Linked DNA regions of Mus musculus. The protein of the gene in region 7 interacts with the protein of the main gene of each other region in a pairwise test. Links are inferred from orthologs where the notes say so. Each region holds a gene or a part of one and is shown on either strand. Other genes may lie near its edges. The genes, in order: Hnrnpc, Pycrl, Kctd9, Srsf11, Tmem239, Abi2 and Sdcbp.

Region 1 (4,234 bases), on a different chromosome or scaffold from region 7:
CATTGCTTATTATGCATGTCTCACTGTCCTTTGAGATCTTTTCAATATTAGTGTTCTTTCGTCAGAGGTCCAATTTAGGGTTGGGGCAAAGTATCGGTTAGAATCTTCCTAGTACCTGAATTCAGGATGTTTTTATCTCAATCCCTAAGACTTCCAAGCTTGTCATTGTTTTTCAAAAAAAAGAGCGGGACAGTGCTAACCTTAAATCCCTGAGGCAAACTCAGTGGGTTCAAGGCCAGCTAGAGTTAGAGGTAGTCTCTTAAAACAAAAGCCAGGAAATTACAGTGTATTAGAGGAAATGTTAAGAGCCAGGGCTTCACAGAGAAACCCTGTCTCCAAAAAAAAAAAAAAAAAAAAAAAAGTGCTACAAAGAGTAAAACCAAACACAAGGGAGAAAAAAATTTGAATATTGTAAATAGAGCTAGAAATGGTAACTATACCTCTAATTCCAGTTGTTGGGAGGTAGATATAAGAGCTTAACCTCACAAATAGAGAAAATATCTTATGTCTGTATATATATGTAGTATCTATTAATAGTAAATCTGTTGGCCTATCGAATAGGAAATAGGCGGTAAGACATCCAGCAGACAGAAAGGATTCTAGGATAATATGAGGCACAAGGAATTGCTTAGGAAGATGTGACAATGGACACATGGCACTTGAGCAAAGGTAGCCAGACAGATAGCAGAATGTAGGTTAGAGTAAATGGGTCATAAGTTATGATCTAGTCAGAGAAGAGCCTAGCTATAAGGCCAAGGTATTGTAAATATATTGAGTGTGAGTCTTACTTAAGGACCATGGAGCTGGGAGGAAGAACCAGGCACAAACTTATAAAGTATATGTCTGTGATGCATGCTATGTTTGGCTACTAATGTACTGTTTCCTATAAGAAAAGAAAATTCTCTGACTCTCCCTGCTGTGGTACATATGCAATGTGTTTTGTCCTCTCACTTTGTTAGCAGGCACTTATCACTGTGTGGGAAAATACACAAGAATAAAACAAATTGGATTTTGTGAATTTTCTTATGCCTTCTTCAACAATCTCTATTTAGCATAAGAAAACCTGACATTTGTATTTCCAAACATCATAGTGGTAAAGTATTAACTTTATTTGCATAAAAAGCAGCATTTGAAGTTGGGCGTGGTGGCTCACACCTTTAATCCCAGCACTCAGGAGGCAGAGACAGGAGGATTTCTGAGTTCGAGGCCAGCATGGTCTACAGAGTGAGTTCCAAGACAGCCAGGGCTACATAGAGAAACCCTGTCTTGAAAAACAAACAAACAAAAAAAAACAAAAAGAAAAAAGAAAGCAGCATTTGAATCTTTTTATTGCTTTAAAAAGTCAGTGCCTGGCTTTCTAACTATCATCATAAACACATATGAGAAGCCTCATACATACCTGTCATAATAATCCCGTTGAAAGTCATAGTCCAAGTCAAATGAGGAACTGAAAGATAAATTTCAAAAGATTATTTTGGAGCTGCTGTTGTTAATTCAACAGGCAGGTGGGGTGAAAACAGGCCAAACAAACCACAACAAATAGATCAGTAAGATTAGCAACAAATAATCCCCATTCATTCAACGAAATCATTTGCCCTCCATGTAATCTTAAGACCACTGGACATGCAGTGATTAATTTAGCAACAGCGAAGAAGCAATACAATAGTTGTTACACCACAATGCCCTTATTTTCTAGCTTCCTAGAAACTAACCAATTCCTCATTTTGTACTACACACACACATAGAATTATTCCTAAACAACAAAAATCTGAAAACAGACCCAAAGGGAAGTATGCTAACACAAGTTAATAAGAATTACACTTTTGCACATAGAAAGCACATTGCATTAACCCTCCCCACATCCAGAAAACACAGAGAAGATGCCCACTGATGGACACAATGCAGTTATAAATAATAAAGTTCCGGACCTGAGTAGAGGGGACGGAGAAGGGTGTTCTGGTACTGACCCGTACATCTCCGCTGCAGATCGTTTCACACCTGCTTTTCCTCGGTTCACTTTTGGCTCTGCAGCCAGGTTAATATCTGGAAAAAAGGAAAACAAAGCCCAACAGGAGTTAAAAGAAACAAAAACCAGGCTGGAGAGATGGCTCAGCAGTTAAGAGCACTGATTGCTTTTCTAGAGGTCCTGAGTTCAAATCCCAGCAACCACATGGTGGCTCACAACCATCTGAAATGTCTCTGAAGCCCAAAACCAAAACCCACGTGCGTATGTATGTATGTATGTATGTATGTATGTATGTATGTATGTATTTTCATTCCCCAGCAAAGCAAACCTAGGCCTTTTGTTATCTAATGACTAATCTTAGTAATATTAGCTCTCCTCCTCACTTAGAAAAGGTTAAGCTTTACAGAGCTAGCTTTCCTTTTTGGACTGTCAGATTCCAAAATGTCCTAACATAACATTTTCTCTTTGATTTTTTGTACTCTACCAGCAGTGGATAATGGTTTTATCTTGGGAACTGGTCAGCATTTGTATTTTAGTATGGAGATAAAGATTATATAAATAATACAAACGGGCTATACAGAGAAACTCTGTCTCAAAAAACCAAACCAAAACAAAAATAATACAAACGGATTTTTTCCTTAGATTGTATTAGGCCCAACTAGCATGGCCAACGAAACATAGGGCAGACACTAACCATGAAAATAACCCAGAGAATATTAAAACTTTCAAGTTCCAGAGGCTATACATTTTATTCCCAGCAGAAGCAGGCCAAGTTCAAGGACAGACAGAACTAACAAGACCAGCAACCAGAGAAAGTTATGTAGTTTTAATACATTCAAACTTGCTTTTTAAAAGAAACTTGGACCAGAAACGATGGCACACAGCTTTAATTGCAACACAATTGGAGCTTGAAGCCAATGTGGTCAACATAGTAAGTTTCAGAACAGCAAGGGCTAGAAAACCTGTCTTAACCCATACACTCCTACCCCCAAGAAGTTTCAGGATTAAGTGAACCTGTGGGAAACTAATAGAAGCAAAGCAGTTAACAGTGTTAGTGATTCTGTGTATGTGTTGCTTGAAAAATTCTAACCTATAAAGCATTGACTGAAACACATAAAAGGGCTACAACTGAGATCTGTGGCAAAATAAGTCTAATATGCCCAAGGAACATATTTTTATATGTTTTTATATTTTTAAGCAAGTAAAAGAAAACATATACAACTGCATACATTTGGGGTGGATAATAGCAAGACACTGTACAGAATTTGTGAAATAAAATGATATGCACACCAGCCAAAATATGCATATGGAGGCCACAGTAAAACCTATGTTATTTCTTCTCTTCAACATTGTGGGGTCCAAATATTGAACTCAGGTTTTAGGCTTGACATCAAGTGCCTTACCCAGAGACATTATGCCATCCTAAATAAAAGATTAAAAAAAAATCTCACTTCCCCATTTCTAGAAAGTAGTACTACACTAGATCTGCCAGAACTACAAAAACATGCTAAAAGCATAAAAAGGAACATGCTAAATTAAAAGGAAACAAGCCAATACAAAGAGGAAAACCTAAAAATTTCTTCAACAAAGAGGCATAAATTTCACCATTTTACTGTGTACAAATAAATGTAAAATTAAGAACTAAGAGATAACTTACTAGTGTGAGGACTGAGTATTTCAAACTTTTAGAAATCACCATAAACTATGCAGTTAAGAACTTAAATACAAAAAAAGAGACAAAACAAAACAAAAAAAAAACCAAAACAAAACAACAACACAACAACAACAAAAAAAAAAAAGAAAGAAAAGGGGCTGGTGAGATGGCTCAGTGGGTAAGAGCACCCGACTGCTCTTCTGAAGGTCCAGAGTTCAAATCCCAGCAACCACATGGTGGCTCACAACCATCTGTAATGAGATCTGACTCCCTCTTCTGGAATGTCTGAAGACAGCTAAAGTGTACTTACATATAATAAATAAATAAATCTTAAAAAAAAAAAAGATGAATAAAATCTACTTAAAAAAGAAAGAAAGAAAAAAAAAACTTAAATACACATGCTGAAATTAATGTAGGCCGACCAAAAGGGGGGAGGGGAGGCTCAATACAAAGACACTGTCACATCAAGTATGAAGGCTACTACCTTTACAGACTTGAAACAAATATACAAATTTAAGGTGAGAAATACTGCTTGTTTATATGTAAAAGAAGCAGTTTGATATATATGCACAAAATGCCATAATAAAACACAATATTTAGGATCTTTAACTTAA
Region 2 (3,332 bases), on a different chromosome or scaffold from region 7:
ACTGCCCACTTGTCATCTTTGCCACCAAACCCCAAGTCCTGCCAACTGTCCTGGCGGAAGTGGCCCCCATAGTCACCACTGAGCACATCATCGTATCTGTGGCTGCTGGGATCTCTCTGAGCACAATGGAGGGGGTGAGTGGCCCCTTGGTGTGAGTAAGGCCTTGACTCTGAAACAGGATCTGTGGCCCATACTTGGGAAGGAGATAGCATCCCAACCAAGCACCAGAAGTTAGCCAGTTGGCTCACCAGGGTTCAGTGGCTGGGATAATGTTCTGCCAAGGTACCTGGGCAGTGGGGATAGAGGCTGCATTTGCCTGACGCTGAATTCTCTCCTATCCAGCTGTTACCCCCGAACACACGAGTATTGCGAGTCTCTCCCAATCTACCCTGCGTTGTCCAGGAGGGGGCCATGGTGATGGCCCGGGGCCACCATGCTGGGAACGATGACGCAGAGCTCCTACAGAACTTGCTGGAAGCCTGTGGGCAGTGCATAGAGGTTCCCGAGTCCTACGTAGATATCCACACCGGTCTCAGTGGCAGTGGTGTGGCCTTTGTGAGTATTGTCTCAGAGTCAAGCCTTGGGGGCTTCAAATGATCCCCCTGTGAGCTCTGCTGTCCCTCAGAACATCATGTTTTATTGGACCATCGAGGCTGGCTCCTTTACCAAACTCTTGGGTATAGGCCTTATAGTCTAGGTATCTGTGACCATGTTTAGGGCCGTGTTTCTTGTGATTCTGAGCTAGTGGTTCTCAACCTTCCTAACGCTGTGACCCTTTAATACAGTTCCTCATGGTGTGGTGACCCCCCCCCCCAAGCAAAAAAATTATTTTTGTTGCTACTTCACAACTGTAATTTTGCTACCATTATAAATTATAATGTAAATATCTGTGTTTTCTGATGGTCTCAGGCCACCCCTGTAAAAGGATTGTTCAACTCCCAAAGGGGTTGATAGGCATTTTCTCTCCCTTGGTGACACACAGGCCAGATTAGACCAGATTAAAATGAAATAAAGGCAGATTTATTAGGAGGCAGCTCTCCAGGTGAGTTAGTCAATCTCACAGGTAGAGGTCAGTAAAGTCACACATCCAGGCTAATCAAGCAAGAGGGTTTTACAGAGCTTAGGCGAAGCACGATGACATGCCAGCTAGGAGCTGGGCTTGTGTCCATAGCATCCGAGGTCAAAAACTGAGCCCTTGGGTGGGCACTCGTGGGTGGGTTGCCAGAAGTGGAGAGACAAGGAGTAATGACATGTTTCCGGATGAAGGAGTTTTCTGTGTGGGTGGGATTGGAGGAAGGAGAACACAGACATGCGATTTCCCAGCTTGCACGGGTGGGCAAGCAGGGGTTCCAGCCTAACGGAGTCACGAGCCACAGGTTGAGAACCGCTATTCTGAGCATTCTCTAGCTGTGAACTGTGTCTAGCAAAAGGTCAACTTTGACATGACCCCTCCCCACTCCCAATGCTGTTGCTACAGGTGTGTACATTTTCAGAGGCCCTGGCTGAAGGTGCCATCAAAATGGGCATGCCCAGTGGCCTGGCCCACCGCATTGCTGCTCAGACCCTGCTGGTGAGTGAAGCCTTTCCTCGGGAGAATGTCGGGAAGGTTTGAGTGTGAGCTGTCTCCAGCGAACTGGAAGACGAGCCTGTGGAGTCCAGACAGGCTGGGAAAATGTGCAGCTGCCTCCCCTCTTTTTTCTCTCACTGCCCTTAACTCTCCTCCTTAGGGGACAGCCAAGATGCTGCAGCAGGAAGGGAAGCACCCAGCCCAGCTTCGGACAGATGTGCTCACACCAGCTGGAACCACCATCCATGGGTTGCATGCCCTAGAGCGGGGCGGTTTTCGAGCGGCTACCATGAGTGCGGTGGAAGCAGCTACCTGCCGGGCTAAGGAGCTCAGCAAGAAGTAAGGCAGGCCTCAGATGAGACTACGGGCTCCTTGCCCAGCTGCAGCCTCTGTGGTGAGAATAGCCCTGGACGGGAGATGTAGTGGGCAGTCCTCTAAGTGGAATGGCTAATTTATCCAAGAAGCGGTGACTACTTGTAAGATGCTATCAAGACGGGGTTGCCTTGACTGTGACATTCAGTCAAGGAAGAATCGCTTGCCCCTTACCTGAGATTCCAGATCCTCCCTTCTGCACCTCCTGGCCAGTTGCAGTTGTGTCCTCATGGTCACAGGAGCTGGTAGAATATGTCTCCTGTGGAGGTGGTAGACATCATCCTCCATGCTGGCGTGAGACGTCTTTGGTTGTGGCTGCTTTGGGATCACCCACACTCCGTAAGCAGCGCCCCGTCCATATTCTCTAAGCCCAATAAACTCATTGGTTCTCTAAGTTGGACTTTAGTAGAGTTGTACTTTGGTTTGGTACCGTATAAAGAGAGGGTAAATATTTATATTTCCTCAAGGAGAATTCCTACAATACTGGGCACTAGCCTCCTTGCTTCTCTAGGTCACCTTCATCTTCCTATTGTCCCACCTCTAAGGACCATGGGGTCTCTGTCCATCATGCAACTGTTTTCACTTCCTCTACACTTGGAAACAGTATCCCGGTCTGCAGGCCTCCTTACCCCACAGTGGCAATAACCCTACTGACATAATTGGTAATGTCCGGTCTCCAGTGCCTGAAAGCTGGCCTGGATTTTGGAAGCAACAAAGCATCTTCTGCTAGCTACTGATCCTGGTCTGGAGCCCTGGCCCTCCTCTTGAATTTCCGTGGGACTTCTCAAAAGCCAGTGGTCACACTCATGAGGATAGGGATGGGAATGGCAGAGGAATAGATGCCACTTGCTGCAGAAGTTCCCTCCCTCTCCATGAACCCAGAGCCTTGGCCCATAGGAGGAGAGAGTCCCCAGTGGAAGCTGGGAAACCCACCTGAGCAAGCATGCCCTTCCACAGTTGAGAAGCTACAACCACATGGCTCCTGTTGCAGAGGTAAGTCAAGGGGAAGAGCTGAGCTGGATATAGGCTGCTTCCTTACTGGACCTAAGCCGGCTCTATGGCAGGTAGAGCTTGAGTCTCCAGAATTCTGGCTTGGGTCAGGAGTCCTTGAGTGCCCTATAGCCCTGGCACTGCCCTGGCAGGATTTGACTCCATAGGATTTGAAAGGATATCAAAAAAAAAAAAAAAAAAAAAAAAAAGATTTGATATTGTTTCCTGTACCAGCATGCCAGGAAAACCAGGACATAGAGAAAAGTGAGATAATGAGATTGAGGGCCAGGGCTCTGAGACCACAGCATAGGGAGAACCTGGTGTGGCCCTGTCCCTGGTACCTTCTCCCCCAAGACAATCATCACCACCCAGCTGCCACAGTGCTGCCTCCTCATTTTTACCA
Region 3 (4,234 bases), on a different chromosome or scaffold from region 7:
TCCAAAGAAACAATACCAACCTATAAAAGTCCCCTGTGATAGAACTTAAATCTACTTAGAATCCAAATAAAAAATTTGTGGGCTAAAGAAACATATAAGCAAAGATACTCAGCCAGAAAGACTACCTATCCATCCTGATACCTACACTGCCATACTTACAGTACTCCCATGCCTGTGAAATACTTACCCAATAAGTTAATGCCATCATTTACAATGAGCTGTCCATGACGTAAGTAGTTCAAAATAGGTTCAAAGTACTCAGGACTTCGGTCAATTAAGAATGCTCCTCTATGATCTTGCTTATTTCCCCAGACACCTGTGATACCATTTTAATAAAGAAAATCCCCCCATAAACAAAAACAAAGTCAGAATTTGTAGAACAAACCAAAAAAAAGTCACATAATATACCATCATGTCTTTACTGCCATAAAAACGATTTGATCCCACGCCAGTTACAAAGTCAGCTCAGATAAAAATGGACCACAAAAAAGTGAGAACAAGTCCTACTGACCTTTGTCCTTGAACATGTGCGCCAGCATACTGTCAGGCTCTTTATTCACTAAAGTGCTCCTAAGAATTCAGGGAAAAAAATTGATTTCTTCATGTGTCTTTACAAACAAACATATTTAAGTCAAGAGTACACTTGAGTTCAGCTGTTCTCTCAAAGAGATGCATGCTACAACCTGGTAGGGTGATGCTGGGAAACAAAAATGTGCAGTAAGTTGCCAAAATCCCTTCTGATCTGGCCATTCCTTTGATTTCATGCTGCATTATAATCTTTTTTATTTAAATACTAGCAAGACATTTTATTACAATATTCTTGATCTTATATTATCTGATCAATACATTGTTGTTTCTAGAAATATTGCTAATTTCTATGTGCAGTTGGTTTACCACTACATCTAAAAAGCAAACTGTAAAGCTGAATTGATGCTTTATTTATGCTTTCTCTGAAATGAAAGGTTAACTTCACTTAAATTTTTTCTTTAAAACTTTCTAAAAATGGTTTCATCCACATATTTTTAGGAAGCATTTGAAAATCTTGTAAGGAAATTGAAAAATTGAAGGAATCAGTACACAGTCCTGTTTATTCTGTTTTGCCCTTTCACACACACACACACACACACACACACACACACACACACACACGCATGCATACGCACATACTACCTACCTTGTTGTTGTGAAGTATCGTCCTCCTACATTTAATGTGAGCCAGTCTGTGTGGGATCCTAGCAATCCTCCAGGTGGTCTAGCATCTGTCTGAGGATCTAGAGATGACAAGTAAAAAATAATAGAAATATTAAGATTAAAGATTCTGGGAAGATAGTAAAATAATTTCTCAAAGCAAAACCTCATATGAATCTACCAAAGTTCCAAGACAACCATGAAGATACAACCCAAGAAAGAGTCCACAAAGCTGCTAGTCTAAGAGAAGGAAGTCCTTTGGGTGATCAGGAATAGTCACGTGAGACCAGATTTCTTGATGCCATCCTTTATGTCATAACAAAGTGAAATAACTTACTTACAATACCCAAAAAAGGAAAGTGTGGGCCAATAATTTTTTAAGTGCTTCTTTGTAAAGCTGACATAAATGTACATACTTAAAGTTTATAATTCGATAAACTTTGATGTGATTCTACATCTGACTTTCAAGTGGAGACAAACTGTCTAGATTGCAAGATGCCAGAGAAAATTGGTTACAAAGACTCTGGGAAGAATCTCAGAGTACTTTCAATCACTAGAAAGAACGGCACAAGCACTGAAGATGAGCACTAGTGCACTGGGGAAGGAGGGACAGTCAGTACATGACTGATGTACCTCTTGACAATGTAGAAACTCAACCGTTTTAACACAGAGATGGAGGCAGGAGACTAGACAAAATATGTTAAGCTGCTGGAAGACCCTATTAGTATTGAAATATTAATTGTTCCTCTGAAGTTTTATGTGGTTTTTGAGTGGGATAGAGTGGATGTGATATTATAATTCTATCACTCTCTGAATTCTTGGAAATCAGGGTTACAAATATGGAAGATAGGAAAGAAAGTCAAGAAAGTCAAGAAGGTAAGCAAAAACCTTATAATCCTGAATAGACCCTGAAAGATCCAGCATGAACCATGAGATATTTTATATCATATTATAGAACATAAACATCTCAAGTTATAAACTTTACAATATACAGCATAACATGTAAATTTTATCTCTAGCTACTTATATATCTCCAACTCTAGTCATCAAAAGGCCTTATAACAATTATAACCAGACTGTATCTTGAACATGACATTAAGTCATAACAATAATGTTCCATGTCTGTAACAAAAGAGAAAAAGATGAACACCTTATTACACTAGAGGTAAAGGAACCATGAAAGGCTAGTGACATTGAGTTAAAAACGAGTAGGTTTCCACTGACCGAATGAGACACATGAGACATCAGTACATGTAGAGGATGAAAGCTTATCAAATATTTCTGAGTCCAAGAAGTCACAGGAATAAACAAAATCCTAGCAGAACTGTTGTTACTTTTGCGGGGGGTGGGGGGGAGTAGGTTAGGGAACTGAACTCAGATCTCTATACATAGCAGACACTGGTTCTACCACTGGATTAAACCCTAGTCTAATTATTTATTATTACTTAATGAATGATTTTTTTATGACTAGCCTGCAAAAATAAGCTTTCAATCAGGCCAGTGGGTACATGATGGAGAAAAGATTTGCTCATAGTTTAAGATGGAAGTAGAAGACGCTATACATTTATTTTGTTATTGGTTTTTGTTTTTTTTTTTCTTTGAGACAAGAGTCTTACAATGTAGCCTTGGCTGGCCTGGAGCTCACTATGTAAATCAGGCTATCCTGGACCTCACAGAGATCCACCTGCCTCTGCTTCCTAAGCAAGTACCAACATGCCAGAACACTTCCTTTTAATGTGGCTACTGCCTAAGCAAAGACTCCTAAGGATCTCCTCTACTCATCCAATACAATGACAGTAATGCTTTAAACACTTAAACACACACCCATGGGTGAATATACAGAACAAACTAAATAGTCGTTAAAGAATAGTTGCCTACTTATGTATTAGGTCTTTTCTTTAGAGATACTCAAATATATAGGCTTTCTTCCAAATGAAAGGATAGTGGCTGAAGCCAAGTCATGTTTTCATGTTAAGATCTGATCGGCAGTAAAGGACTGTCAAACACTATGCAAGGAAAACATGGCTACAAGTAAGTAATATAATACTAAAGAAACGCTAGCCATTGCTTTCAAAGAAAATTATTTCTAAAATCAAAATTATCTTATCATGTCCTAGGTCACAAACGTACATATCTAGGATATCTTAAAAGCACGTAAAGGAGGAAATATATAGACTATAATTATAATTCTTATGTATAACTATGTAATTTGACATAAACTCATTGAAGAATAAAAAAAAATGTGAAGACCTGAGTTTAGTCATCATGATGTTTTCAATGTTAAGTCATACAGTTCCTTGTAAAGCTATTTACTGTTTCATGTTTGTTACTGTGGCAAGAAAAGATAGGTAAAGTCACTTACCAATAAACGGCTCTCCTTCACACACAAACAGCACATCATCATCCCTGGGAAAGCCAGAACGGAAAAGCCACAGTCAAAAGCAGAAAGCACGCTTGTTAACTGACGGCTCGTCTGAGCTGCTCCTCAGAGCTACACATGACAAGCCTTGTCACCAACCTGCCTCCAAGGAAACTGTCTCCAGGGCTCTGTTTAAACCTGACCAGGTCTAAAAATCAAACACAATTGATTCTGCATATCAAAGTATTTTTTAAATGGAACAAACCAAAAACTCACTATCAAAATTTATGAATTTGGCATATATTAATTGAAGAATGCACTAATTTATGTTCAAAATACATGACTGAAGCCACAGGCAACTTTTGTCTTGAACTCTTTACTTCTAAATAAATTATTGGAGTGCTTTCTCAAATAATTAGCTGCTGGGCACTTTAGAAATTAAAACAAACTGTCATATTAAATCCTGAAAAAATGAAAACCTGAGCAACTCTGTTCTAAACACCTACTCACCACCCATCTACCATGAGCACACTTAAATATCTCAGCTCACCCATCCTCTTGGATTACCAGTTTACTCTCCTCCCTGACCACCCTTGCTCCATTAGTGTAACTCAGTAATCAGACACACTGCTGTGAGCCAGAAAGCACAGTGTAAGCCTCATACAATCCTGTCACAGTCATCTCCAT
Region 4 (4,234 bases), on a different chromosome or scaffold from region 7:
GGTGTCTGACTTCAGACTTGGTGAAACAAGACCAGCTGCTACATGATTCAATCTGGAGCAAGAAAACAGTTTAAAATTTAAGCTTCCATTTCAAGTAAACAGGTATGTTTCACATACCATCATTATTTGTAAATAATCCTTGAAAGCAAAATACCGGGAACCACCATTTTAATAAGCAGCATGCAGTGAAGTGCCACTTTCAATGCTTACAGAGACCTGGAGTAAGAAAATACTTATTTTGGAAAATGCTAGTATAAGAGAACATATTGATGCTCAAGTTAACCTTTCACCATAGGATTTAGGGGAAAGCATTACGTATTAGACTACAGATGGGAAGAAACTAAGGCATTGGTCAATAGCTCATAAACTTACACATGAAATCTTAACCACAAAAGGTAATGATCTGTGTTTAAGTGCTTACACATGCAAGGGAAAAAGCAAAAACAAATCCAATAAATTAGACAACCTCAGTTATCAGTGGAGAGGGATGTCATCAAGAACAGGCACAAATGGCCCTTGAGACCCAGCAGGCAAAGGCTATTGCTGTTAAGTCTAATGACTGTGAACCTCCTTAAAACCGTCCTAACCCGAATACACACTGTAGCTTGTATGCATGCACACCACTGCGCTAAACAGATTTAAAAAAAACAAAACAAAACAAAACAAGTTTTTTTGAAAGAGTGCTGGGTGTGGTAGTACACTCATTAATCCTACCACACAAGAGGCAGAGGGAAGCAGATCTCTATGAGCTCTAGGATAGCTAGCCTGATCTCAGCCAAGGCTATATGAGAGTGAGCATAAGAGCCCATTATGTATTGGTGCTACTAATATGCTGGGCTGTGGGGATATTAATCAACTAAGCCATGTCCTTTGTCCTGCAATGTTCCTCTACTCACTAATAGTGATGTTGACTACCTCCAAATTAGGCTACATTGGAAAAAGCCCCACAAATCTGTTATCTATCAAGGAGAAAAGAATTCTAAGTACTGGGGTAAAAGTACCTATAAGACATGGTAGTGTTAGTCCCCTAATATATTCTTCCTTCTCCAATTTCTTTTTTTTTTAATTTATTTCATATATATGACGAATACACTGTAGCTGTCTTCAGACACACCAGAAGATGGCATTGGATCCCATTATAGATGGTTGTGAGCCACCATGTGGTTGCTGGGAATTGAACTCAGGACCTCTGGAAGAGCAGTCAGTGCTCTTAACCACTGAGCTATCTCTCCAGCCCCCTTCTCCAATTTCTACCTCCCTCAGGGCCCAGACTCTGATCTAAAACCCAAGATTTTTTTCTCTGTGGTCCCTCCCCCTGGCACTTCTATATGTTTCCCATTTCAATGTACGTACTTTGCCACAATAAATGCTTAATATTGATTACAGAAATCCTTTGTGCTTTTTATTGATTTTTTTTTTTGGAGTCAGGTTATTATGTCGCCAGTCTATAGACCAGGCTGGCCTCGAACTTACAGAGATCCACCTGCCTCTGTCCCTCAACTGATGATATTGAAGATGTGCACCACCATGCATGGGCTCCAATGTGTATTTTGTATAAATCATCAAAATACAACTTTCACACTATAACAAGCCACTCACAACTATTAGGAAACATTCAAAACCCTTATTTTTGGATTCCCTTTCTTGTTTCTACAATATAATCTATAATTATACACCAAGCATGTCCTAGGAATAGCTAATTTTTTTTTTCTGTTAACTGTAACTGTTCTACAATGTAATATATAACAGAGAAACTATTCTTAACTTGGTATAGTGGTCTATGCCTGGAATCCCAGCACTTGGACAGGAATTTGAGTTCAGGCTTGACCACATAGTGAACATATGGCAAAACTATATTACACAGATATAAAATATATTACATATAAAACTATATTATATGTACCTCAAGAAGAAAACAAAAGTAAGTGTTCTTTTGACAGTTATACAGTATAAAACCAAAAGAGACAAATACAAATGAGAAAGCTTACTTGGGATCAACAGTACTCATAAGTTTCAATAGCTGGTCTGCAGCAAGGGACTAAAAAAAAAAAAAAAAAAAAAAGACAATGAACACACAGCAATAAGTGACTGTTATTTTAAGTTTCTTGAAAAGTTGTGGGACAAACTGGCAACCTATAAAGTGCAATGCTTTGTGTATATCCATGGCAAAAAGGTAAAATGCAAATTATGAATTCTAACAATGGGTAACTTTGTGGCTAAGCCTATAGAAGAGGAGGGAAGCAAATTATCAAGAGTAAGGCTGAGCAGTCTGGGTTTATTAGGATCAGCTCTTGCTTATTCTAAAGACTTAAAATAGAAAATCTGAAACTCCTTAGAGTAACAGAACATCTCTAAAAAGTACAAACTCCAAGAAACAAAATATTCTCTAAATGTGTCAAGGATTAATGACTGATGTAATTCAGTGGTCATTTAAAAATCTCTTTCAAATAAGTCAACAGAGTAAAAAGATTACAACACAATCAGCTAACCCTTGCTTTGAAATGCAAACCAAGGTTTAATGAAATAATACCCTACAAACACAAGCTCACAAATGAAAGGTAGTAAGATATACCTGAGAGTTCAAGTTTGTTCCTGGAAGCCCAAGAGCAGCAAGGGCAGGATCAAGAGCTGGAGCTCCCAACGCAGCCAGGGGAACAGCGCCAATCTGCAACAGGTAAGGGTTTATTATATAAAACATCTTTAACTTTCAGTATTGGGCTAGACACTAACTTTTTCATTTATAAAAGTACTACTGCCATGGTTCAAATTCTGCTGTATAAACTATCTAAAAACTGGACATAATTATGTCCCAGTAAAAATATATCAACAGAAATGAGGGTTGTGGTTTGTAGTTCCTCACACCTGTCCATATGATGGTCAACCTCTCATTTTCTTATAAAACATTAATTCTCTATGATCTATAAAGAGAAATGGCCCTCTCAATATAGCCTTAAGTACTAATTGCATCCTCAATGAAAACCAGCTCTGTGCTATGATGACAGGACCCTAAGTACTTTTCTTCTGGCTGCTGTCATTTATGCATGCTGTCTACTGTCTGTTTGGATACTAAGGTAGAGGCTTCTTTTGGAAGCCCCCATATCCTGTTCTCCCAGTTTTAGCATTATCAAGTACAAATCTCAATACTAAATAAGTCCTCTGGTCAAAATGTTTGTGTTCCTGTTGTGCAGCACTGTTCCTCACAGGACTGCTAGTCACTCATTAGATGTATGGTAACTCTTATTCCCTAATCATCCCCCCTTTTTTTTTCCTGATTTACACTGCCAAGATCCTGTCTTCTTGACAGAAGTTTTAGTTAAACCACAATTAAATCAACACAAACATGCAAAGTCTTACAGAGGCAGTCTGACTTTCCATTCATGTGCTGAAGTCGTCTATTGTCAAATACTACCTCAAACACTAAACATACCCTTTCTAAATTCAATGGGGCCATACCTGGGTAAGTGGGTTGGGGGTAGGCAGGAGTCCACCACCAGGCAGAAGACCTGCCACTGCATTAGCTGGTGCCAATAGAGACAAAGCCTTAGTCTCATCAGGAATAACTCCTGCAGAGAAACATCCTTGCATGAGAACACACTCTCTTTGAAGACAGAAAACACACAAAAACACCCAGAAAATGTCTCCCTGATACACCACCTGAGTTTGTTGAAAGTACTTATGTTCGCTAAAATATAAAGTTTGATCTCTATGATTATTTATCATTAATTTTATGTCAGAATGAAACTTCAATGTGTGAAAATTTGTTTCCTTTTTCTCTACAATGGTTAAGTTTCTAGAGTAAAAAAAAATAGCACAATACACACTACTGTTTTGTTAACACTGCCAAGATTTCATCACCTGTACTCGATTTTTAAGTCATGAACCAAACGTAAGCAAGCACAGTCGGTTCTCCAGGGGTGTGCTCTCAACTTTCAAAAGCTGTTTTATGAACAACGACTCGTGTCGGCTGCTTCACTATAAAGCACACAGAAAAATCAAGATACACAAGACAAAAAAAGTTTGATTTAGGGGTTAATAATATGGTACAGTTACTATGATTTTCTTTACACCTACCATACAAATTTTGTAAAAATTAAAAGAAGGAAAGTATGTAAAGGAAATATTCTGTTGGAATCAAGAGTAGGGCTTTTGCTGACTCATGACATGAATATGAATGTTTCTGAAGGTCTCTGAATACACAGGGGAAATGTGTGTAAGGGGAGTAAAGGGGAGAGGG
Region 5 (3,895 bases), on a different chromosome or scaffold from region 7:
GAGATTGAGAGAAGCAGATAGCAGATGAGGAATAGATCATTAATGGAGTAACATCCCTATGTCTGGCCTTGACACACAGCCGCACTGCAGGGGGAACTACAAAATGAAGCACTGGTTTGGGGTTTTAGGCACTGAAGCTATCTACCAGTATGAAGATGTCTACCAGGAACACAGAGTTCAAAACTCTGTCAGGCTTTGGCCAAAATGAACCATGGCTCAAGGTGCACGAGTGTTTAGAGGGCTTCAGAAGCAATGATTTTCAGGTTAGATTTAAACCAGATAAAGAGCTGGGAAGCAGCAGGGATTGGGTAGAGGTCAGCAGTGGATGAGGACTGAAGTCTGGGCCCCAGCTGGGGGCAGATCGGCTAACATGTCTGTCACTTGACTTGGTAACTGATACTCACAGCTTTGTTTGGAAGGCTCAGCGCTAGGTAAATGGCCAAACGCCAGGGGAGCCTGGGTGGTCCAAAGCCCTCTGGTGGAAGCAGCCTGCTTAATCAATCCTGCAAATCTCTGCGCTTTCCTTTTTCCATGAGCACAGCATTGCACAAGTTCCCTGGCACCAGGCTCCAGCCTCGAGCATTACACAGATCATACAGTCCAGTGTCTGCCTAGCTTGAGACACACACCTTGCACATCTCACCACACTGCCTATTCCGTGTCAACTGTTTTAGGGCTGGGATTCCATGAGTGACAGAGTTTCTGTAGAAGCCTAGAGAAATTTAATCTCTTAGCTTCTGAATCAAAAGGCCTTTTGAACTTATATGTTTTTAGAGCTCAAAACATCTTAACTGCTGTTTGGCCTTACCAAATACTTTTCATAAAATCAGGCATGGTGGCACAAGTTTTAATTCCAGTACCCTGGACATAGAGACAATAGGATCCGAAATTCAAAGTCACCTCAGCTAAATAGTTCAAAGCCATCCTGGGCTTCATGAGACCCTGTTTCAAAACAACAACAGCAGCAAAGTATTTTGCAAATAGATACTGACTTTTGATCATAACAAACCCATGAAAGCATTGGGGCTCACTTAACACCAAGGTTCAAAAGTAGTGAATCAGCCAAGATGTAGGAGGCTGAAACAGGACTTTGATTTTTTTTGTAACAGACCTGGAGATTCTTAAAAAAAAAATAAGAGTGTGTAGGGTGGAGTGTATGCTTATGCACAAAGCCTTGGGTCCACACACACACACACACACACACACACACACACACACTATCATGATTGGCCTCTTTCCCATTTCTGAGAGGTGAGTGAGGTGAGATCCCTAGCTATCGTCCTGGCAGTGAGACCCATTCCAGAGTGTGTGTTCCTCCTGGAAGTAGAAAGAGAGGATCCGGGACAAATCCAGACAAGTCCAGGGGTATGTAGGTGGAAATTCTCAGGAAGCCTGAAGCTGGTAGGGCTGAGGTGATGTGACTAAAAGATTCTGCCAGGAAGACCAAGTGATGTTACCACATCCATACGGGTGCTCTCAGTGGTTGGTCCAAGCTCTTGCTCCTGGCTAAACTGTCTGTCCTGTTCCTGACACCAATGTGGGTTTAAGGTAGATGCCCAGAAGCCAGACCCCCACTTGTATTTGTGATTGGGGGGGGGGGGGTCTGAGGTCTGTTGAAGTTCCACTGCCCCCCTCCCCACGGGGCTCAGGCCCTAGGCCAGGGCTCAACAGACACAAGCAGTAAGATGGGGTTGCCCTTCTATTGGTCCAAGTCCTGAGCGTAGCCTGGTTGAGTCATGGAGGTGAGCAGGCCCACGAGGCTCAGCAGTGTGGAAAAGAGCAGCAGGAAGGAGGCTGCGAAGAGCAGAGCAGGCAGGGCACTGAGCACAAGCAGCAGGATTGCTGGCAGCAGGTGGCTCCACATCACAGCCACCACGGGCCATAGCGAGCTCAGCAGGTAGGAGCCCGTGGTGAAGAGTGCGTGACATAGCATCAGTGCCAGCAGCAGGTAGAGTGTCCCCTCCAGACCCCACAGCATCCGCTGTAGTGGTTGCCGCCAGCCTGATGTATTCCACCACTGGGTCCAGCTCCGAGGTATGTGGCATACCCACCAGCGCACCCAGTCCTGACGGATGATCCAGGCTGACCAGGGCACTGCCCGCTGGGGCCCCTCGCCAGCCCCGATGATATCCGACTCCACTCGTGGCTGCTGCATCACGGCTGGTGCACCTGTGGACAGGGCCAGGCCAGCTGCAGGGGGCAGCCCTTAAGATGCCCAGGACCTCTGGATAGGTGGGCATGCAGGGGTCAGGGGGATACCAGCATGGGCAGGATTGGACTTTGAACTGGGGCCTAGGACTTACCTTTGGGCAGAGCCACCTAAGTCATGGTGCTTCCTGTTGTGTCTAGGCTGGCCTGGCAGCCAGATCCCAGTCTCTCCCTCGCCTGCCCCACCATCCCCAGAGGAGTGCATTATGACCCGGACTGGGGTGGGGCTCAGCCAAGAGAGGAGCTACTGCATAGTGTGAGAGTCACTTATGTCCTTTACTTAATGGTCCCTCCAGGCTAGCAGGAGAGCCCAGCAAGCCTACCATTCTTCTTCTTGTAGGAAGCCTTCCCCACACCTGTCCCTCCTTGATGGCTGCTTCCAACCCCATGGCTGGAGTTGGTTGCTGTAACTACCCTTTTCTCTGCCTTCTCTTAATGCCCTAAGCTTCAGGCAAAGGTAATATGCCTTTGACAGTTCTCAAATGTCCACATTGTGGAACTAGAAGGCCCTGAGGTTCAAGCTGAATATGATGGAGTATTCTGTCCTTATCACACAACCTTACCCTCATGTAGCTCAGGATGGAAGAGAAGAAATCTGAGAGAGCAGATTGGATGTTGTATTTTCAGAAGGCATTCAGCTTTAGGAGGGCCCTCAGGCCCAAGGATGGATACAGAAAGCTAGGCCCAGCATGGCTAAGGGTATACCAGAGCCTCCCAAGAACAGGCGCAGGCCCAGGAACAGCAGGAGCAGCGCATCCTGCAGGCTGAGCAGTCCCGAGGCCATCTTTGTTGGAGAGAGGGGAGCTGCTTGCTGTCCTGGGCCTTCACCAGCCCCCTGGCTCTGACCCATTGGGAGAAGTCTGTGTCGTGGCAGGTTGGCACCTGTGGGCCTGTGGAGAGAGAAGATGGCAGCTCGAGGCAATTGCTCATTTGTGTTTGTGACACCTATCTGACAGGTGGCACTTACCCATAGAGCAGGTCAAAAACAAGGAAGCTGGTCAGCAACAGGAGCAGCAGGGCTAGGCCAGCCGTTGAGAAGATGGTTCGAATTGTCACTCCTAGTGCCCCCAGCCCTAGGATACTGTCCAGGAGCTGGGCCTGGCTGAAGTCCCAGGGGGGGCACATGACTCGCTGACCCTACTCAGTCCCTCTCCAGGATCCAGACCCCTGGGAAGGAGTGGGATGGCTTTAGAAGGGCAAGGGTGAGCTGAGCTGGGTCCTAGAGGTTATTAGGAAGACCTAGTGCTAAGAGATTAGGGATCAGGGAAGAGAGGAGGGCCTTGGCAGACACTCAAGGGTTAGCTCTGTGAGTAAGGAACTAAGCTTTTTGGGGATCTCCCTCCCCCCACTCCCACCCCACATCTTCACCAACTCTCCTCACCTCCTCCCACTTGGGTGACCATTCTAGATTTGGACACTCTGGGGCATTGTGACCTATTATCAGGGAGGACCTTGAATTAAGGACAGGACAACAGTTTGCTTTGCCTCATAAGCACTGGTGGCCTAGGTGGGGCTCAGTAACAAATCAGTGTTTTCTGAGAACTAAGACTCAACTCACCCACTCACCTTGCCAGTAATTCTCTGCACCAGGGACTTCCCACCAGTCTTGGGATGTCAGGAAAGCATGCTAACACAACAGCTGCTTGGACTTCTGCATCTTCCAGAACATTCTCCAGACTCTGTGTTT
Region 6 (4,234 bases), on a different chromosome or scaffold from region 7:
ATTAAATGAACTTTAATTTCCTAGGGTTCCATTAGAGCTTTAGAAAGCTTGACAGAAACTACACCTACCTTCACTCCATGTCCAATGTCATCTAAAATTGTGTAGTCAATAGGTTTTCGAATATAACGAACTGGCCGCTCAAGGTTGGCTGGCGCAATAATCTTATGGGTCCTTGAAGTGTTTTTATTGGTGGTCAAAATACCAATTTCTCTTCTTGCAACCTTCTCTTTATGAATATCAACTGTCTGTAAGATATAATATAAATAAGACAACACAAAGACAGATAGCCCTGGTATCCAAATAAATAATAACCAAATGCCTAGAGATTCAACAATCCTTCGTATTCATTTCATAAACCACCTTTTCTCTAGACTATTGTCTTTATTCATTTTTAACCTAATGCAAGGGTCACCAAAGCATGCCTTCAAATATAACCTGGAACATCACCTGATTTTTACAGCCCACAAGAGCAGAACTTAGAATGTGCATGTGTACATGTCTGCACAAATACCTATACAAATATGTACACACATATAGGTGCTAGTGTGTGTGTTCACATGGAAGGGGTGTACATATGTATATACATGCTTGTGCATATGGAAACCAGAGGTCCACTTTGAGTATCATTTTCCATAAGCTGCCTCCCTTGTTTATTTGAGTCTCCCACTAGGACACAGGTCTTACTAATGTGTCTGAGCTGGCTGACCACCTAGTCCCAGGCACCTGTTTGTTTCTGCCGCCTGGCATGAAGATTCCAAGTGCACACTACACCCATCTTTTTCCATGGGCTTGGGGACAGAACTCAAGGCCTTATGGATGTGCAGCAAAGACTGGAGCAACTGAATCATTTCTCCAAGCCAGAGTGATCATTTTCAACAGAAAAGAAAAATAAATAAATTAATATAAATAAAATAAGAAGCCAGGCATGGTGGTAAATGACTTTAATTCCAGCACTTAAGAGGCTGAGGCAGATAGATCTTTTAAGTTTGAGGCCAGCTTGCCTGCTCTACATAGAGAGTTCAAAGACAGCCAGGACTATGTGGAGGGACCCTATCTCAAAAAACAAACAATAAAAACAAAAAACAAAGAAACAGCAGAGAATAGTCTTGTTATATTTTTAAAAAACATATTAGTATAATCTAATATTATTTAAATACTACAAAGAAGGAACAAGACTAAAATATAAATATTACAAATGGGGATCAAGGGGTAGAGTGAGGGAGTATACCATTTGCCTAACATTTACAAGTCCCTGACGTAATTCCCAGCATCCACCTCCTCCCTTCAAAACCATCATTTGACAGAAAAGCTTGTTAGCTTCAGCAAGTTGCTTACATCTTATTAACACAACATTGATCACATATTTCATTAGAATTTATCAAGTGCTCACATTCATAGTACAAATAATATTTTTATTTATATTCTTTAATTATTTGCTAACAAATAATACATTTCTCATGAAACACTAATATAGCATTTCACATAAGTTATAATTTTGTAATCTATAAGTAACAAATATTTTTAAGGCAATACAACAGAAAGATAACTGACTTGAGTCAAACTTGAGTCATATCCGTTACTGTGCTGTGATGGGTAGACATAACCTATAATACTTCCCCACTCTGAAATAAGCCAAACTGTCTAATGTTGCCAAGCATCTCCCTGAGGGTAGAATTGCCAAGATCAAATACCAGAGATCTAGAAAAACTTCTAACTAGTTTCTTGCATTACTTACTCAAGTAACAACTGTGACTGCCTACACTGGCTAGACTTTATGTTAACTTGACATAAGCTGAAGTCATCTGAGAGAAGGCAACCGCAATTGAGGAAAATGTCTCCGTAAGATCGGGCTGTTGCCACGTCCTGGGTTCTATAAGAAAGCAGGCTGAGCAAGCCAAGAGGAGCAAGTCAGTAAGCAGCTCCCCTCTAAGCCTCTGCCCCAGCGTTTGAGTTCTTGCTCTGTCTCCAATGATGAACTGAGATAAGTAAGTATAAGTAAAATAAATCCTTCCCTCCCCAAGTTGCTTTGGGTCATGGGGCCTCATTACAGTGGATCTCTAAGACACTGCCAAAGAACAGATATTTAGTGTCATTAACTACTTTTCATTATTATCTGGATACAGAGCTCATAGCTACTCTCCAGCACTATGTCTGACTGTCTGCCACTGTACTTCCCACCATGGTGATAAAAGACTAAACCTCTGAACTGTAAGCCAGCTCCAATCAAATGCTTCCCTTTATAAGAATTGCTGTGCTCAACATGAGACACTATTCTCACAGGAATAAAACACTGACTAAACCACCAAAGGGGAATTTTAAAAGCCTACTGACAGGAGAAAAAAATTAAATTAGCCACCAAGCTATCAAATCATTATTTTTAAGGCAATAAAGACACCAAACAAACAAACAAACAAACAAAAATCTGTCAAAAAAAAAAAAAAAAAAAAAAAACCTGGGTGGTAGTGGTGCACTTCTTTTTAATTCCAGCACTCAGGACAAAGAGGCAGGTGGATCTCCGTGAGTTCAAGGACAGCCAGAGTGACACAGAAAAACCCTGTCTCAAAAAAACCAAAAATAAAATAAAATACCAAAATAATTTTTCACTTCAGGAGTGATTATGTGACTGTGGCAACTGAGTTTTAATAAAATCCATCAAAATTTACTTTTCTGTCAAACTATAAAGATAATAACATCACAGCAGGACATAAAGTGAGTAAGTAAAACAATATATTAAAAAATTAAATTAAAAAAGATAACATCACAAAAAGAATCATAAACAATGCAATACTAAGTTAATATGTTGCAAATACATGCACATTAACCTGCACAACAAAGGCAAGTCAACAAGCTGTGTGTTGCTCATAGGCAAACAAACTGAACATGGTCTCACTTGTGAAATATGGTTGATTGAAGACTCCATCCTCCGTAACTGTGATGCCTGGATATCCAGCATCTGTAGGACATTGTTGGCCAAGGTGTTTATCAGATACGCAACACTTGCTAAGGATTGAGTGGTGTAGGCTTTGGTTTCTTCTAGGGCTCGCTGCTTATCTGGTGACTGTGAAGGAGGAAAATAGTGACCTTCAATTTAAAGATAATTAACTTCTAGCAAACTAACTTAGTCATTTAAACCACAATGCTACTAAACCTATACCAAGTTTAAAATATTCTGAAAAACATCATTGTTACACAATTCCAAAACTAAATGATTTAATGAGCTCACTGATATTTTCAAGATAACTATACATTTTTATATATACATTTTTATGTAAGTACAAATAAAGTTCTAAAGCTAGTATTTAAAATCTGAGTTCCAGTGTATACTTTGAGCAATGACAGCACATACACATCTTCCCAATTTAACTCCTTCGGCAGCACTGACATGAATGCACAAATACTTATTCTACTTTCTCTTGATTTCCTTTTATTCTCACACACAAAATGTGTTTGATCAAAGTATTAATAATGATAAATAAAATGTCTGATAATAAAAATAATTATAAAATTAAAATGCGAGGCTACTCTGTTCTCATGTCATTTAAGAGACAGCCTTATGGGGTAGAAATTGCCAATGTCGGCCCTTTCTTAGCAGTCAGTAGCACCTATCTCACAACTTCCACAACCCAGAAGCCTTATTTGAAAAACAGGGATTATGCAGCAAGAAGTAACCAAATGACTATTTTCCAGGTTACTGCAGACCAACATATTTTATTTTGCCACCTACAGGAAGATTCTGTGGTGTATAATAAAGCTAATCCATGTTTCTGATTCAGAAACCCTGTATGTTAGTGCCATCATTAATATAAACTACAAGAGTCACCATTTCTCAATTACAAAGCAGAGAGGGTACATCCCTGATTCAATCACTCCAAGAAAATGAAAAATTGCACAGAAAAATGAAAAAACTGATGTGAAGTCACTTTCTAAAGCATAAATCCCTGTATACAGCTGCCACTGCTCAAAGTATACACTGAAATACAGTGATAGGACTTACCAGAAGTCTACTACAGTCCCAATCACATCTCTCCTACAGTCTACAAAGCATGGATACAAATTTCTCCATGGATTGGAAGAAAAAAGAAAAGTCTTTAGAAGTAATTTAAAATAACCAAATTAACACCATATTACCATGAAAAGAGTTAAGGGGGGAAAAAAAAAAGAAGAAATTCAAGTAAAACCAAAGTGAAAAAGACAAATTATAACTGATACCACAGAGATACAAAAGCTTCCTAGG
Region 7 (4,234 bases):
GAAATATATGCTAAGAGAAATGTGCAGAACAAATTAAGTAAACAAAACGATAGAATAAGAACAGAGTATACCACAGAGCCTTATAAATGCAGATACTTCTAAAGTAACTTCAGATTACCTTCAAAGCAAGAAATGTACAAATGGGGAGGGGACACTTGTATGATGCTCACATAAAGGGATCAAAGTATACAGACCTGGGCAAAGGAAGTCAGATACACTGAAATAATAGCTATAATTGGCTTTTTTTCTTTGTTAGAAGATAAATTTTCTATAAACATAGCAACTAGCATTTTTGTTTTCTCCATGCCTCTTTTTACTTTACTGTTGGTTGACTTTACATTTTTTACTTTAAATTTTTTAAGATTTATTTTTATATAATTCATCTATATGTCTGTATTTGCCACTTCTGTGGATGCCTGAAGATGTCATATCCTCTGGGGCTGTCTTCTGGCATAGCAGCAAGCACTGTAGCCACTGAGCCACGTCTTACAACTTGCCTAGCCGCTCCGAGGCTGCAACTATTAGAACCCCTCCCCTAGGTCCAAGCTGCAACAGGCTGCATCCCTAAGCGTTCTGGCCCCAGCACTGATCCACTCCATCCTAGGGCAGCAGCTGGCTTTCGCCACTTCTATCTGGGTTCTACTTTTTCCTTTGAAAATCTTTGACCATTTATCTAATTTCTCAAATCACTTCAGCTGAAATACCGTTTTATCAACTGGATAATTGTTGAGAATCAGTTCTAATGTTCTGTCTTATTTTGGCTCCCAAAGTCATGCACTGATAATAACCAATGGCTGGACAGAGCGATGGAGGCGGGACATTTAGATTAGAAGATTGTGTGCAAGCCGGAGACTGAGAAAGAAGGGAGAGAGAGAGGGTAAGGAGAGGAGAACTGCCATGACGGGGAAGCAGAGGGATCAGACTAAGAGCTACAGGAAAGAAAGGAACCAGCATGTAAGGGGGAAAGTGGTCCAAGGCTTGCTCTCTCAATTGGGTCTTGGGTAGCAGAGATGAAACACTCATTTAGCAAGTCGATTCAGGAATGTTAGAAGAGAGAATGTGCTAGCCCCAACCTCGGGGAGGTTTGAAAGTGTCTAGCCACTGAGCAAGTTAGACATATTAAAAATAATGCGCTCTCTCTCTCTCTCTCTCTCTCTCTCTCTCTCTCTCTCTCTCTCTCTCTCTCTCTCTCTCTGTGTGTGTGTGTGTGTGTGTGTCTTTCATTCGAGAATCTAGACAGCTCTGGCAGGTAGCTGAAGCATGACCTGCCAGGAGCCAAAGCAGATTAACTAATTTACCAGTCAAGACCATAAGTAATGCAAGTTAGCTTTCAATAAATATTGAAGTTTCAACATATAAAAGCCAGGTACTGCATAAGCAGTAGCAAGAGGATAGAAGTGGATTCAGTCATGAAGCTTGTAACTATAATTACTGCAAGAGCTATGTGCTACATTCAAACCTAGAATCTCAGTCTAATTACAAAAAAATAAAAATAAAAATGGCTTCTAATTACAGGAGGAGGAATATTAAGAACGTGAGCAAAATAATATGTCAGTTATATACTTCAAGTGACTAACCTATCCAGAATGAAATTATGTCTGGAACAAGACTTGCTGTGAAATATGTTAAGAAATAATTGTACTACTTAGTAACTCTATGTCAGAATTCCAAACCTCAGTGCAGTTATACAGCTAGAAAGGATAAAAGTAACTCAGAAACCCGGCAGGGGCCGGGTTAGGGAAGGATAAAATGCACAAGACAAAGACCTAATCAATTCACCAGTGGATGACAATGTTCAGAAATACTTCTAGAAAGAATTTTATAATCTTAGGACAGTTCAACCCTAAAGTTATGAACATGTGAGTTTCCTATAAATGGGTTTACACCTATGTATAAAGGACATTTTGTGGGACTTAAGATCAGACTGTACATACCCCTTGTGCTGGTGCTCCAGAGACCATGGGCATGCTCTCACATATTTCAGCTTCATTTAAAGACAGTCCCATGTATTGAGAGAGCTCTGGATACAGTTTAGGATACAGATCTAATATAAACAAAGAAAAAGGCATTGGCAGAATATTCAAAATAACAACTTAGTATGAACTTGCTGTGTTCAATTTAAAAAAAAAATAAGGCACAAAGATTTAGATGCATAAAATGGAAGGATATCTTCCCATCTCTGACACAATTAGAATGAAAAAATCCACAACCACTTGAATGCAAAAGCCCTAACCTCTGAAACCCATCCGAAGCCGTCTTAGCTTTCTAACCCAGAGTCACCGTCTGCGGCCATGGTGCACTTCAGGACCCACCACAGACCACCATAGTGTGCAGGTGTCCAAATCCTCATTTAAAATGGTCTCAAGCTGGCCATGGTGGCAACATGGGCTTAAGCCCAGACTCCAGTTATGAGGCAGAAGCAGGAGGATTACCACAAATCTGAGACCAGCCAAGGCTAGATAGCAAGACCTTAAAAGCTGACGGTCATCTAGCCATCAGTAGACCTGTGCGAGTCATGCGGTCTGCTTTTGACCCCTGCTGGAGACTCATCCTACACAATACCACTCAACACTGAGAGCTGCTGATTTCTCTTAAGAAAAATAGCAAAAAAGTTCACAGTACAAATATAAAATATAGAAATGGAAATAAAAGACACAGAGAGGTAACTACTCAAAGGTAAAAATAATTTTCCAAATAAATGACCTTGCCCCCCCTCTTTTTTAACATAATCCTAAAACCTTAGAAAATTGGGGGGGTTATGGCACGGACTCTTCAGTTCAGAATCCCCGAAGTGTTTAGTGCCTCAGCCACTTAACTCACTCCACACACAGCGATGGGACAGGATGGGATGGTTCCCTCAAGTAATAGGGGACAATGTCAAAGCCTGGGATGGACTCTGTCCTACCACTTTAAGATTGACAGGCTTATTCTAACGAAATGAGACAAACAGACGGTTTAAACATTACTAGTTAACTTTTTTTTGAAGTGAGCTTCTTCCAAAATCTTTTTCTATGATCTATTTTGATTTCAGAGTAGAGTCATTACAAAGAATAAAGTGAAGAGATGGCATGAGAAGAGGTAAGGCCACCGGGACTTAAGTTAATCATTTCCTTAGTCTCTTCATGTCTTACAGAGAGGCTCTATCCTGAAGCCTCTGATTCAGGGTGGAAGGAGGACAGGCTATGGTTTATCCAGTCTGAACAGCAACTCCTAGTTTTGAAAAATATCCCAAAAAGAAGACAGTTGGAAACTTCCTGAGTTCCCCGGCAAAGTAAGAAAGAGGCATTTCAGGATGGATGCGGGAGAGAGCGGCAGTTGGGAAAACTGTAGTCCCATGGAAGAGTGTGTTTCCCACTAATGAACAGACTATGTTAAAGATTATGAATCAAACTAAGAATTTTATTATGCCCTAAGACTCACCTTCATACTCAAAGATCACTCTTTTTTTTTTAATTAGGTATTTTCCTCGTTTACATTTCCAATGCTATCCCAAAAGTCCCCCATACCCACCCCCCCACTCCCCTACCCACCCACTCCCCCTTTTTGGCCCTGGCGTTCCCCTGTACTGGGGCATATAAAGTTTGCCTGACCAATGGGCCTCTCTTTCCAGTGATGGCCGACTAGGCCATCTTTTGATACATATGCAGCTAGAGACATGAGCTCCCGGGGGTACTGGTTAGTTCATATTGTTGTTCCACCTATAGGGTTGCAGATCCCTTTAGCTCCTTGGGTACTTTCTCTAGCTCCTCTATTGGGAGCCCTGTGATCCATCCATTAGCTGACTGTGAGCATCCACTTCTGTGTTTGCTAGGCCCCGGCATAGTCTCACAAGAGCAAAGATCACTCTTAATTAAACAAGTATTTCTTCAAAAAAAAAAACCATAACATGTCAAAACAAAATCCCAGATTCTGAATTTCAGGGGAGAAGAAGGCCTTTATATTTATCTCTGTCCCTCCACCCCACCAAGAGCAAAGTATAAACCTACTTCCATCTGGAGGGAGAGCAGCAGAAGCATCCACCAGAACAAATGCTTGGCTGGCGGGATTGGCAGAATAAGCAGTTTGAGCCTGGAAAAGAAAAGAAAATTTTAGCAAATAACAAAAATATCTACATCTTTCTTATACTATTTACATGTTAAATCTAGTACTTTACAGAACAAACTAACAACTGAAGTTTTACTTAGAGTTTCACTTGAAACAGTTCAGAAATCATTTTCACCCAAAGGAAACCTGT

What was found.
Region 1: the proteins of Sdcbp (region 7) and Hnrnpc interact in binary tests that used the Homo sapiens proteins (3 or more experiments, as listed by UniProt). The two-hybrid records come from large-scale screens. The link is inferred for Mus musculus from reciprocal best matches to the Homo sapiens genes SDCBP and HNRNPC.
Region 2: the proteins of Sdcbp (region 7) and Pycrl interact in binary tests that used the Homo sapiens proteins (3 or more experiments, as listed by UniProt). The two-hybrid records come from large-scale screens. The link is inferred for Mus musculus from reciprocal best matches to the Homo sapiens genes SDCBP and PYCR3.
Region 3: the proteins of Sdcbp (region 7) and Kctd9 interact in binary tests that used the Homo sapiens proteins (3 or more experiments, as listed by UniProt). The two-hybrid records come from large-scale screens. The link is inferred for Mus musculus from reciprocal best matches to the Homo sapiens genes SDCBP and KCTD9.
Region 4: the proteins of Sdcbp (region 7) and Srsf11 interact in binary tests that used the Homo sapiens proteins (3 or more experiments, as listed by UniProt). The two-hybrid records come from large-scale screens. The link is inferred for Mus musculus from reciprocal best matches to the Homo sapiens genes SDCBP and SRSF11.
Region 5: the proteins of Sdcbp (region 7) and Tmem239 interact in binary tests that used the Homo sapiens proteins (3 or more experiments, as listed by UniProt). The two-hybrid records come from large-scale screens. The link is inferred for Mus musculus from reciprocal best matches to the Homo sapiens genes SDCBP and TMEM239.
Region 6: the proteins of Sdcbp (region 7) and Abi2 interact in binary tests that used the Homo sapiens proteins (3 or more experiments, as listed by UniProt). The link is inferred for Mus musculus from reciprocal best matches to the Homo sapiens genes SDCBP and ABI2.

Annotation. Positions count from the first base shown.
Region 1 is NC_000080.6:52,079,861-52,084,094, forward strand, and holds part of Hnrnpc (heterogeneous nuclear ribonucleoproteins C1/C2), read right to left. Parts: intron 2,044-4,234; coding exon 1,968-2,043; coding exon of another isoform or gene 1,929-1,967; intron 1,448-1,928; coding exon 1,400-1,447; intron 1-1,399. UniProt on the Homo sapiens protein: Binds pre-mRNA and nucleates the assembly of 40S hnRNP particles. Interacts with poly-U tracts in the 3'-UTR or 5'-UTR of mRNA and modulates the stability and the level of translation of bound mRNA molecules. Single HNRNPC tetramers bind 230-240 nucleotides.
Region 2 is NC_000081.6:75,915,475-75,918,806, reverse strand, and holds the end of Pycrl (pyrroline-5-carboxylate reductase 3), read left to right. Parts: coding exon 1-134; intron 135-342; coding exon 343-555; intron 556-1,477; coding exon 1,478-1,570; intron 1,571-1,727; coding exon 1,728-1,910; 3' UTR 1,911-2,344; downstream 2,345-3,332.
Region 3 is NC_000080.6:67,725,687-67,729,920, reverse strand, and holds part of Kctd9 (BTB/POZ domain-containing protein KCTD9), read right to left. Parts: intron 3,595-4,234; coding exon 3,551-3,594; intron 1,272-3,550; coding exon 1,175-1,271; intron 698-1,174; exon of another isoform or gene 571-697; coding exon 512-570; intron 317-511; coding exon 188-316; intron 1-187. UniProt on the Homo sapiens protein: Substrate-specific adapter of a BCR (BTB-CUL3-RBX1) E3 ubiquitin-protein ligase complex, which mediates the ubiquitination of target proteins, leading to their degradation by the proteasome.
Region 4 is NC_000069.6:158,019,388-158,023,621, forward strand, and holds part of Srsf11 (serine/arginine-rich splicing factor 11), read right to left. Parts: exon of another isoform or gene 3,721-4,234; coding exon of another isoform or gene 3,564-3,720; coding exon 3,454-3,563; intron 2,666-3,453; coding exon 2,573-2,665; intron 2,039-2,572; coding exon 1,989-2,038; intron 53-1,988; coding exon 1-52. UniProt on the Homo sapiens protein: May function in pre-mRNA splicing.
Region 5 is NC_000068.7:130,404,984-130,408,878, reverse strand, and holds Tmem239 (transmembrane protein 239), read right to left. Parts: upstream 2,358-3,895; 5' UTR 2,304-2,357; intron 2,170-2,303; 5' UTR 2,156-2,169; coding exon 1,700-2,155; 3' UTR 1,085-1,699; downstream 1-1,084. Other genes in the region: 1700020A23Rik (uncharacterized protein C20orf141 homolog), read right to left, coding at 2,861-3,098, 3,176-3,333.
Region 6 is NC_000067.6:60,433,067-60,437,300, reverse strand, and holds part of Abi2 (abl interactor 2), read right to left. Parts: intron 3,059-4,234; coding exon 2,891-3,058; intron 246-2,890; coding exon 69-245; intron 1-68. UniProt on the Homo sapiens protein: Regulator of actin cytoskeleton dynamics underlying cell motility and adhesion. Functions as a component of the WAVE complex, which activates actin nucleating machinery Arp2/3 to drive lamellipodia formation.
Region 7 is NC_000070.6:6,378,800-6,383,033, reverse strand, and holds part of Sdcbp (syntenin-1), read right to left. Parts: intron 4,069-4,234; coding exon 3,987-4,068; intron 2,045-3,986; coding exon 1,935-2,044; intron 1-1,934. UniProt on the Homo sapiens protein: Multifunctional adapter protein involved in diverse array of functions including trafficking of transmembrane proteins, neuro and immunomodulation, exosome biogenesis, and tumorigenesis.